Linked DNA regions of Xenopus tropicalis. The protein of the gene in region 1 purifies or fractionates together with the protein of each later gene. This does not show direct contact. Links are inferred from orthologs where the notes say so. Each region holds a gene or a part of one and is shown in the gene's direction. Other genes may lie near its edges.

Region 1 (8,604 bases):
CTTGGAAGCTAATAAATTTGTTACAGATGGATATGTCCGGCAGATAGAGCCTTCATCATCTGTGTAGACATATCTCAGATACTGCCAGAACCTTCCCCGGGTCCCATTGTTATGCATGTCGTAGTGTGTGCTATGGTGTGTGCATGTTAATGCAGCAGGTATGGAATTTTGAATGTTAAATGGTATAAGGATGAAGGACTCCCAGCTCATTGCTTGCAGAGTGATCCTTGGGGAGGGACAATTAACTAATTAAGGGTTTATTATTTACATCAATGCTAAGCATTGGGCATCTAGCCATGCCGAGAGTTAAGCTGTCCATACATCGGATATTGGTCACACGGTTAAATAGATGTCAGACACCAGTTGTAGTGACTTCCATTGTAGGTCCCCCCCCCCCAAGGATATCGCCCGATACACAATACATGCATTATCGTTACCCGAAATTTTCTAACCAGGCCGATTGACTAAACCAGGGGTCCCCAACCTTTTTAGCACCACGGCCCGGTAGGAAGCAAAAAGAGGGGAGGGGGGCGGGGCGCGTAATACATGTGACGCACTGGGGGGGGGGTGGGTGTGCTCCAGTCCACTGCCATGCCTGGTGGTTGGGGACCCCTGGACTAAACGACTGATCGCCATGGTACGAAAATTATTGGGACAATAATTCAGACCCACACATCCGAAAATCATATGAAACTGAGTTTACATCTGTATGTATGTATATATATATATATATATATATATATATATATATATATATATATATATATATATATATATATATATATACAGTATATGTATATATATATATATATATATATGTATATATATATGGCCAGCTTTAGAGATGTTGGGCTCCTGGCGAAGGCTGGGGCCCCTTTCCCGGGGGGGGGGGGAGGTAATGCATACATGGGAGAGACAAAGTTCCAGTACTTAGCTTTGTTTTTATCTAGAAGTTATTTTTAGGTGAACTTGCCCCATAATAGGATTTGACAGTCCTGCCCTAGATTATTGTGTTTAGTGTGAGGAGTCACTGACGTCTGTGTGTGTGTGTGTGTGTAAGGGCTACACAATCCAGCAACCTTTGTCCCTGCGTTCCGTACAATTGATTACAGCAATAAGTTTATTTGGATTTGTTATATCCAAGCATCCCAGGGCCACTCTAGTTGGCACATCTCCGAGGCATGGAACCTGCCGCTGTGCTTTATATTTGGCACAAAACGCGCTCTCTTCCTCATTGCGAGTAGCAACCTGCAGTGCTGTGGCATTAGCATATTATTTATAGAAACCCTGCGTCTGGCGTGAAGTCCTTGTCATTCCGGAGAAAAATACAAAATGAGCAAATCTATTAGGGCTGAATATGTTAGGGAGATGGATACCGGCACCAGCGGATACAATGCTTGGGGCACAGTCGGTATGTTCCGCGCACAGCGGCGCTGTAGGAGGTTTGCTAAAATCAATGCTACACCAAAAGGCGCATATACAGAATTACTAAATGACATAAATGACATTTTTACCCCTAATGCAGCATTTTTATGTGTCAGACACATTTGCATAACTCCTGTTCACTTACTAGTCATTTAAGGAGGGCACCCAATAGCTACACAGTTATATAGGGTGACTTCCTAGTAATTATAGGGGTGCACCCAAAAGCTACACAGTGCTATAGGGTGACTTTCTAGTCATTATAGGGGTGCACCCAAAAGCTACACAGTTATATAGGGTGACTTCCTAGTCATTATAGGGGTGCACCCAAAAGCTACACAGTGCTATAGGGTGACTTTCTAGTCATTATAGGGGTGCACCCAAAAGCTACACAGTTATATAGGGTGACTTTCTAGTCATTATAGGGGTGCACCCAAAAGCTACACAGTGCTATAGGGTGACTTTCTTGTCATTATAGTGGTGCACCCAAAAGCTACACAGTGCTATAGGGTGACTTCCTAGTCATTATAAGGGTGCACCCAAAAGCTACACAGTGCTATAGGGTGACTTCCTAGTCATTATAGTGGTGCTCCCAAAAGCTACACAGTTATATAGGGTGACTTTCTAGTCATTATAGGGGTGCACCCAAAAGCTACACAGTTATATAGGGTGACTTTCTAGTCATTATAGGGGTGCACCCAAAAGCTACACAGTTATATAGGGTGACTTTCTAGTCATTATAGGGGTGCACCCAAAAGCTACACAGTGCTATAGGGTGACTTTCTTGTCATTATAGTGGTGCACCCAAAAGCTACACAGTGCTATAGGGTGACTACCTAGTCATTATAAGGGTGCACCCAAAAGCTACACAGTGCTATAGGGTGACTTTCTAGTCATTATAGGGGTGCACCCAAAGGCTACACAGTGCTATAGGGTGACTTTCTTGTCATTATAGTGGTGCACCCAAAAGCTACACAGTGCTATAGGGTGACTTTCTAGTCATTATAGGGGTGCACCCAAAGGCTACACAGTGCTATAGGGTGACTTTCTTGTCATTATAGGGGTGCTCCCAAAAGCTACACAGTTATATAGGGTGACTTCCTAGTCATTATAGGGGTGCACCCAAAAGCTACACAGTGTTATAGGGTGACTTCCTAGTCATTATGGGGTACACCCAAAAGCTACACAGTGCTATAGGGTGACTTTCTTGTCATTATAGTGGTGCACCCAAAAGCTACACAGTGCTATAGGGTGACTTCCTAGTCATTATAAGGGTGCACCCAAAAGCTACACAGTGCTATAGGGTGACTTCCTAGTCATTATAGTGGTGCTCCCAAAAGCTACACAGTTATATAGGGTGACTTTCTAGTCATTATAGGGGTGCACCCAAAAGCTACACAGTTATATAGGGTGACTTTCTAGTCATTATAGGGGTGCACCCAAAAGCTACACAGTTATATAGGGTGACTTTCTAGTCATTATAGGGGTGCACCCAAAAGCTACACAGTGCTATAGGGTGACTTTCTTGTCATTATAGTGGTGCACCCAAAAGCTACACAGTGCTATAGGGTGACTTCCTAGTCATTATAAGGGTGCACCCAAAAGCTACACAGTGCTATAGGGTGACTTTCTAGTCATTATAGGGGTGCACCCAAAGGCTACACAGTGCTATAGGGTGACTTTCTTGTCATTATAGGGGTGCACCCAAAAGCTACACAGTGCTATAGGGTGACTTTCTAGTCATTATAGGGGTGCACCCAAAGGCTACACAGTGCTATAGGGTGACTTTCTTGTCATTATAGGGGTGCTCCCAAAAGCTACACAGTTATATAGGGTGACTTCCTAGTCATTATAGGGGTGCACCCAAAAGCTACACAGTGTTATAGGGTGACTTCCTAGTCATTATGGGGTACACCCAAAAGCTACACAGTGCTATAGGGTCATTACCTAGTCAATAATGGGGTACACCCAAAAGCTACACAGTGCTATAGGGTCATTACCTAATCAATAAAGGGGTACACCCAAAAGCTACACAATGTTATAGGGTCATTACCTAGTCAATAAAGGGGTACACCCAAAAGCTACACAGATCAGCCCCTGCCTTGTCTGTAGGCAGGAGATTTACTTGGATATTATAGTTTCCTTTAAGGGATGGCTACAGGTGGCATGCAGCAGATAGTGGGTGTGGCCCTCTGCGCCAAAGCCATTAATTAACCCATAATTAAAGCAATTTGTAATAATCCATTATTTGATGAAAAGATTAGCTTATCCGCAGGCATGTTTCTGTTCTCTTTCAACAGGTCGGACGTCGTGGTTCTGTGTTTTTCAATCGCCAACCCGAACTCCTTGAACCATGTGAAAACCATGTGGGCTCAGGAAATCAAGCATTTCTGTCCCCGTACGCCAGTCATTCTGGTGGGGTGCCAGCTGGACTTGCGATACGCCGACCTCGAGGCAGTCAATCGAGCAAGGCGGCCATTAGCCAGGTATTGTTTTCTTCTGCACTGGATTGGCTTTACTGTATATATTTCACTTTTGTCATTCAATCCCATTGATAAAGTTAGAAGTGCAGAGATTTCTGTGTGCTCCATTTCTACTTTCACCAAGTGACGTGGCCCAGTGTGTTGTTCCCATTGTACTGTAGAATGGCGTTGGTACAAGCATCCCAATCTAATCAAGTTGGCAGATGAGTGGAGAGCAGGATATCTATCTCCTGCTGCCAAATCCATCAATCCCGAGACAAATTCACACATTCCCTGAACTCGCTAATAACCAATTTTCTCTCCTTTCAAATGTGCCGGCGTTTTGATATGATCCCTCGTGGCATCTGTCTTTGTGAAGGTGTGAAAAATCGCATTGAAAAACAAAAATAACCTTTGCTTATCAAATCCAGAGGTGCTAGAGATGTTTCTTAGGGTGGTTATTCAGCCAAATATTCCCCAGTAACTAATTATATAAAGCAGCATACTAGCATGGATGGCTAGGGCCGGACATAGAGAATAAGGGGCCCCATGCTATGCAGGAGTTTTGGGTCAGCTGATTAACAGGCTTGTGAAAAATAACAGGCTGACTTGTGTTACCAGCAGTGCAAAAATGGCCCTAGGTTCGATTTCAGCCAGGGCACTGTCTGTATATTCTTACTATGTCTGCAAGGGTTTCCTCCAGAAAGTCCAGTTTCTTCCTATGCTCCACATACAGACAGGTTCATGTCTAGAGTGGTATTTCAAAATACAGAGGCCCAAACAGCCCCCCCACCAGCCCACTAAATTGTGACTCTATATGGCATCTTTCAGCAGCCCCTCTGGCATTTGCCAGAACCAACAGATTGCCAGTCTGGGCCTGGGCAGTTTAATTGGCTCTGGATAAAACTAACCCTGGTGTGTGAATATGATAAGGAGATTGTAAGCTTCACTGGGGCAGGGACTGATAAGAATAGGAATATGTGGTGCTTTATAAATAATAATAGTTGTGTTTTCCTTTTATTCTTATAATGACAATATTCTTCTTCTTTACCATTGTAGGCCAATAAAAAGAGGCGATATTTTGCCCCCAGAAAAAGGTCGGGAAGTGGCCAAAGAACTCGGGATACCCTACTATGAAACAAGCGTCTTTGACCAGTTTGGCATTAAGGATGTGTTCGATAATGCCATCAGGGCAGCGTTAATTTCAAGGCGGCACCTCCAGTTTTGGAAGTCTCACCTGAAAAAAGTTCAGAGACCCTTACTGCAAGCTCCGTTCCTTCCTCCTAAAGCACCGCCGCCAGTCATTAAAATCCCTGAGACCCCTTCAGCCAGTATGAACGATGCCGGCGACTTGCTGGACAACCCTTTGTGTTCCGATGTCTTATTTGTCCTTCAGGACCAAAAAAAGATCTTTGCTCATAAAATTTACCTTGCTACCTCCTCTTCGAAGTTCTACGATCTCTTTTTAATGGAACATGAAGAGTCCCGCCATTCCGCCGACAGGTACTGCAAGAAGCTCAACAAGGACTTGCTAATGAGGACATTAAGCCTAGATACGGATGAGGACGGCGATGTGGCTACTTTGAAACCGGCAAATGCCTGTCTACGGACATCAAGGAGCGACGACACATTGCTGACGACGGACTTGAGCGAGGACGGGTGCGTCTCTTTGTCTTCTTGGAGTAAGGGGTTCCACAGCATGTACCAAGAGCTGACGGTCAACCCCGTATCAAACAGACCTTGTCCAATGACCGTCATACGAATGGATTCCTCTATACAGTATGGGCCTTTCAAAACCGTCCTGAGGTTCCTTTACACGGGACAGCTGGACGAAAACGAAAAAGGTCTCATGCGAGTGGCACAGATCGCAGAGATTCTGGAAGTCTTCGACCTGCGCATGATGGTGGAAAATATTACAAATAAAGAAGCCTTTATGAACCAGGAGATCACAAAAGCATTCCACGTCCGAAAAGCAAATAGGATAAAGGAGTGTCTTTCCAAAGCCACCTTTTCAGGTAAGTTTCATGAAACCTAAACTTTCATTTTTAGTGTTACATATGTACATAAAGGCCACACAGTTTGATGGCCAATATCAGGGGTCCCCAACCTTTCTTACTTGTGAGCCAGACTTAAATATCAAAAGACTTTGAGAGCAACACAAGCACCATAAAAGTTCATGTAGGAGCTGCTATTAGGCAGCCTCTATGCACCCTATCAGCTTACAGGGGGCTTTATTTGGGAGTAAATATTGTTTCTATTCAACCAAAACTTGCCCCCAAGTCAGGAATTCAAAAATAACTCCCTGGTTTGGGGGCACTGAGAGCAACATCCAAGGGGTTGGGGAGCAACATGTTGCCCCTGAGCCATTGGTTGGAGATCACTGGCCTATATGCATAGGATTATCATGTATGTGGCAAATAAAGATCCCAAAATGAAAATATTCCCTACCAATTTAACAAACTGCCTGCAACAGTAATCCCCAAACAGTAAATTGATCTCAGAAAACCATATATTTATGGAAATATACATTCTGATAAATCCAAACTATGGCTGCTCCAAACTATGAAACTGTAGAATAGATTATATCCTAATAGACTATGCTTAATGATGTCATCTATTTCAGACAATTCTTAGTTATGTCACTTATCACATGACTAAAACGTCATCTCCAGTACTGGTATAAAACCCTTTTTCTGGCATTAAACTGGTTGAGCTCTGCACTCTATGCAGAGTGCGGCTCCAGTGGGTAAATCACACTTATGGGTCACAGTTAGAGCTTATTTTCAAATGAGAATCTTACCCTTCATCTAGATGGGTCCAGGTGCTCATGCCCCAGACCGTCAGCTTAGGGAGCCAATAGTAGAATCACAAATAGAGTTAGTTGGCAGGCACATCCGGATATCAAGGAACAGAAAAGTTGTCAGGAAGCAGTATTGTAAAATAAGAACTCACAAAGTTTATTTATCCGTACATAAAAAGCAAAAAAATAGGTAGCCTTACGCGTTTCGTACCAAAGGGTACTTAATCATAGGCTGATAATTAAGTACCCTTTGGTACAAAACGCGTAAGGCTACCTATTTTTTTGCTTTTTATGTACGGATAAATAAACTTCTTATTTTACAACGCTGCTTCCTGACAACTTTTTTGTTCCTTGATATCCGGATGTGCCTGCCAACTAACTCTATTTGTGATTTTAATATCCACTCCAGCGGGTGTAAGGCAGGGGTGGTAAGGACAGGGCCCTGTTGCAGCCTGCATCTGTGGGTGCTCCCTTACTTCTGCACCTTGCAAGTTAGGGTATGAAAGGGGAGATGCCTACGCGCCTACCACCGCCCCCTCAGCTCGAATGACAGCAGAGCTGTTTCATGGCACAAATCAGGTGTCTATGCTCCATTTGGGGCACAAAATGCCTTCCTGCGCTGCTCACTTGGTGTGTGTGCCTCGGCAATATGCTCTCCTTTGTTTCCGATTGGAGGAAGGTGGCACCTTCACCTTGATTCACGCTCATCATTAACCCGATCAAGAGTCAGTCTAAAAATACTCTCCCCCGAGATCTAAAAAGACAGATTGCATTTTAATAGCAGTGTGAGGCCTGTGCTATGAGGCTATGAGTGCTATGAAGCTAATGAAGCAGGCAGAAAGGGTGCTAATGCCGCACCAACAGTTTTTTTTCTATGGCAGATTGAAGTGAATTTAATGGGAAATTGCAATTCCTGATTTAATGTTTGGCTTTAGGCACTGACCCGACAGGCCACAATGTACCATTTAGCGTTATTTTAATAACACGCTCTTATGATTAGCGCATTGTTTTTCATACGTTAGTTTATTGCATAAGAGATCAGGGTTAAATAGTAGTGCAGAGCTGTTTCTGCCTCTTAAGGTGGCCATATACGTTCCACAAGGTCGCCAAGCGAGCGGATCATCTCCCTATATCCCCCACCTACGGGTGGGCTATATTGGGTGAATTCAGGCTGATTCGGTCGTTTGGCCCTGGGGCAGATTGTGGCAGATAGTGCCCACCATTGCCTCCTCATTTCTGCAAGTTAGGGTTGAGTAGGGGCATCGTCTTCCCTCCCTTCATGAATACAGCATTGCTGAACACAGGCAACACTGTATTCACGGGACACGTTCACTTCAGAAAAGTGCAGGACACAAGTGTGCAAAGAACAAGGTGGTTTGCACCCATTTTTTGCACTTTGCACCCTGCCCTGCACCTTTAAATTCCTTTTATAACTCCATATTGTAAACAATAACTTTTTAAGGACTTATTAAACATAGCCCTGCTCCTGTCATACCCCTGTGAATCCCCATTGACCCACCCAAAGTGCAGTTGTAGCCCTATTGCCCTATCTAAACTCATTGCAGGGGTGGCCTGAACTTACCATCCAGCCATGGAAAGTGCAGAATTTCCAGCCAGTAAACGAGCAGCTAATGTTTAACGGCAACTCCCTGAACCCCCATACAGCCTGTAGCGATGCTTGGGGATGTTGAAACTGTATTCCAATTGTAGCTTGGGTATCCTGATACAAATACTATAATTCTACACACAGTGTAATTATGTTAAATTCAAAGAAATATTCTCCCTAACTTGCATTTGGAATTCCCCGGGTTTATGGACTGTATGACCTGACTGCCGGGCAGGGTATAATGCCAGGTTAGTGCCGTTTTATTCACTATATTTTCCCTTTCTAGATGTGACGTTTAAGTTGGATGATGGAAG
Region 2 (4,126 bases), on another chromosome or scaffold:
CTTACTTATTAGCACCCATACTGCTCCATCTAGTGGCGAACGTGCACTTAAACTGCTGCAACGAAGCAGGCAAAGGGCACAGATTATTATAATATATTAAATTACAACACAATTTCTGCCTATTATTTTAACTGGAAAAAAAAAATCCATGTTTTTTTTGTAACTAATTTCAGCTTCCAACTTCCTGGTTCTTGCGAGCACTTTTGGGAGGAAAAAAGTAGTTCATTAGAGCACGGGGGAACAGATTACCCATCAGCGTATCTGTTCGACAGACACAACAAACTGTGGGAGGGGGTTGTTTATACATAACTTACTATCTCCATGAAACGGCAAGTCACTAGTTAGCATTTACCATATATCCCCCGGGAGAGACTGAATTTTTGTATAAGGTCTAGGCTTAATTTAAAAGAACACTGACATGGGAAAACATGTTTGTTACAAAACCCATCAGTTAATAGAGCAGAATCCTGCATTGTAATCTGTTTTTCCCATGGGGCTAGCCATATTCTTCATTTCCCAGGGTACCACAGCCATGTGACCTGTGCTCTGATAAACTTCACTCACACTTTACTGCTGTGCTGCAAGTTGGAGTGATACCACCCCCCCCTCACCCCCAGCAGCCAATCAGCAGAACAATGGGAAGGGAGCAAGATAGCAGCTCCCAGTAGGTATCAGAATAGCACTCAATAGTAAGAAATCCAAGTCCGGCTTGGGACTCCTCCAGTTACATGGGAGTAGGAGAAACAATAGGTTAGCTGAAAGTAGTTCTAATGTGTAGCACTTGCTCCTTCTGAAAGCTCAGACTCAGGCACACTTTACTGCTGCGCTGCAAGTTGGAGTGATACCCCCCCCTCACCCCCAGCAGCCAATCAGCAGAACAATGGGAAGGGAGCAAGATAGCAGCTCCCAGTAGGTATCAGAATAGCACTAAATAGTAAGAAATCCAAGTCCGGCTTGGGACTCCTCCAGTTACATGGGAGTAGGAGAAACAATAGGTTAGCTGAAAGCAGTTCTAATGTGTAGCGCTGGCTGAAAGCTCAGACTCAGGCACAATGCACTGAGATGGCGCCTACACACCAATATTACAGCTACAAATACATTTGTTGGTTCAAGAATAAAAGGTTAAATGGCAGAGGGAATTATTTGCTGTGTAACAGTGTCATTTAATAAATAAAAAGTTCCCCATAAATATCATGACACAATCCCTTTAAGCCCTATAGCCAACATTGCCACAGACCCCCTTGTGTGACTGACATGTTTAGGAAGCCAGGCTATCACATGATAACCGAAAGGCACCTTGGGAAATGCGCAAGCTTAGTAAAGAGCCACAGTGCAGGGTGGAGCAAGATGGCGGCGGCTGCTGCTTCGAACGGCAGCGGGATGGAGGTGGACGTCGCCGGTGAGTATGTAAAGCGCTTGGCTATTGCAAAATGCAGCAGGAGCAAAACAGTTCGCTCTCATATGGAGTTTATGAAAATACACAGGAAGACACCGGCTTTACGCTGAAATCGTTACAGTGAAGCCTATAGGTCTCCATTGGATGCGGGCTTGCCTGTATAGCGTGTGGACTGGTTGTCCGGATAAGGAGGAAATGAGTGGCGCAGCGCCATTGGCTGTGCCAAACGTCAATCAATGGAAACAGGCGCGCAGTAACGTGAAGCGCTGAAGTGAAGCTTTATGTGTGTGAGGGAACAACATGGCTTCTTGGGAGTATTCACATAAATACAGACTTTGAGTTGTGACAGGAAAATCATGTGTAACCAAAATAATGACTGAACTATTACATGCTTCCCTGTGTATTACAGTCTGGCTGTATTTCTGCCAGGGCCAAACATGGCTGCCCAAAGGGCAAAGCCTTCTGCTCTGTCAGAGAAAACACCTGAGGGCAGATACTGTTTGTTTAACTATTCACTGGTAATATGAGCCAGACCTGTCACTTTATGAGGAGAAAAGAGTGACCATAGCTGGTCCAAAACAAATGTAACAATATCTTATAGGTATAGGACCCATTATCCAGAATGCTCAGGACCTGGGGTTTTCTGGATAAGGGGTCTTTCCGTAATTTGGATCTCCTACGTTAAGTCTATTAAAAAATAATTTAAATAAACCCAATAGGATTGTTTTGGCTCCAATAAGGGGTAATTATATCTTAGTTGGGATCAAGTACAGGTACTGTTTTATTATTACAGAGAAAAGGGAATCATTTAACCATTAAATAAACCCAATAGGGCTGTTCTGCCCCAATAAGGGGTAATTATATCTTAGTTGGGATCAAGTACAGGTACTGTTTTATTATTACAGAGAAAAGGGAATCATTTAACCATTAAATAAACCCAATAGGGCTGTTCTGCCCCAATAAGGGGTAATTATATCTTAGTTGGGATCAAGTACAGGTACTGTTTTATTATTACAGAGAAAAGGGAATCATTTAACCATGAAATAAACCCAATAGGGCTGTTCTGCCCCAATAAGGGGTAATTATATCTTAGTTGGGATCAAGTACAGGTACTGTTTTATTATTACAGAGAAAAGAGAATCATTTTCAAAAATGTGAATTCTTTTATTAAAATGGAGTCTATAGAAGATGGCCTTTCCCTAATTCGGAACTTTCTGTACTAGGAAAGCAGCATTAAATGTGTAGAATATGATAAATGCCCACAGTATAGAAGGTAGCTTTTTTTGATATTATTGTACAAACTTCCCCTATGTATTTTTTTTACTAGAACTGTTATTGAACATTTTGTCGTTTCTTTCCTAGCCTTCCCCACTGTCATGGCGCAGGGGGTAACTGGCAGCGTGACAGTTGCGCTCCATCCCCTCGTCATCTTGAACATCTCCGATCACTGGATACGCATGAGATCCCAGGAGGGGCGCCCGGTGCAGGGTAATGTGCCACTATCCCTTCCTCTCATTTCTTCCTATGGATCCTGAGGCTTCACCCACTTACTGACCCCCCTTCCCTCTCCCACCCACAGTTATCGGAGCCCTAATCGGGAAGCAGGAGGGCAGAAACATTGAGGTGATGAACTCGTTTGAGCTGCTTTCTCAGATTAACGAAGAAAAGATCACCATTAATAAAGAGTACTATTACACCAAGGAAGAGCAATGTAAGTGCTTATGTGCCACTAGGGGCACGTACATGTTATAATTCCCACACACAATATGGAAATGGTCATCTTTTAATCACTATATAGCACCTAAAAATGTTGGGCTTAGTACAGGGGAATCCCTATGCTGCCATAGTTTTATGGTATCTCTCTGTACAGGCTATGAGCAAACTTAGGGGGCTGTTCCTGCTGAATTGTGCTTAGTACAGGGGAATCCCTATGTGCCATAGTTTTATGGTATCTCTCTGTACAGGCTATGAGCAAACTTAGGGGGCTGTTCCTGCTGAATTGTGCTTAGTACAGGGGAATCCCTATGCTGCCATAGTTTTATGGTATCTCTCTGTACAGGCTATGAGCAAACTTAGGGGGGCTTAGTACAGGGGAATCCCTATGCTGCCATAGTTTTATGGTATCTCTCTGTACAGGCTATGAGCAAACTTAGGGGACTGTTCCTGCTGAATTGTGCTCAGTATAGGGGAATCCTTATGCTGCCATAGTTTTATGGTATCTCTCTGTACAGGCTATGGGCAAACTTAGGGGTCTGTTCCTGCTGAATTGTGCTTGGTACAGGGGAATCCCTATGTGCCATAGTTTTACGGTATCTCTCTGTACAGGCTATGGGCAAACTTAGGGGGCTGTTCCTGCTGAATTGTGCTTAGTACAGGGGAATCCCTATGTGCCATAGTTTTACGGTATCTCTCTGTACAGGCTATGGGCAAACTTAGGGGGCTGTTCCTGCTGAATTGTGCTTAGTACAGGGGAATCCCTATGTGCCATAGTTTTATGGTATCTCTCTGTACAGGCTATGAGCAAACTTAGGGGGCTGTTCCTGCTGAATTGGGCTTAGTACAGGGGGATCCCTATGCTGCCATAGTTTTACGGTATCTCTCTGTACAGGCTATGGGCAAACTTAGGGGGCTGTTCCTGCTGAATTGGGCTTAGTACAGGGGAATCCCTATGCTGCCATAGTTTTAAGGTATCTCTCTGTACAGGCTATGGGCAAACTTAGGGGGCTGTTC

What was found.
Region 2: the proteins of rhobtb1 (region 1) and cops6 purify together in Homo sapiens (affinity purification with mass spectrometry; 4 studies listed by BioGRID and IntAct, counting the BioPlex papers as one, with this or other methods). This does not show direct contact. The link is inferred for Xenopus tropicalis from reciprocal best matches to the Homo sapiens genes RHOBTB1 and COPS6.

What each region holds. Positions count from the first base shown.
Region 1 is NC_030683.2:16,840,039-16,848,642, reverse strand, and holds part of rhobtb1 (rho-related BTB domain-containing protein 1), read left to right. Parts: intron 1-3,722; coding exon 3,723-3,908; intron 3,909-4,943; coding exon 4,944-5,899; intron 5,900-8,576; coding exon 8,577-8,604.
Region 2 is NC_030679.2:144,242,134-144,246,259, reverse strand, and holds the start of cops6 (COP9 signalosome complex subunit 6), read left to right. Parts: upstream 1-1,326; 5' UTR 1,327-1,347; coding exon 1,348-1,399; intron 1,400-1,667; exon of another isoform or gene 1,668-1,754; intron 1,755-2,758; coding exon 2,759-2,884; intron 2,885-2,975; coding exon 2,976-3,107; intron 3,108-4,126. UniProt on the Homo sapiens protein: Component of the COP9 signalosome complex (CSN), a complex involved in various cellular and developmental processes.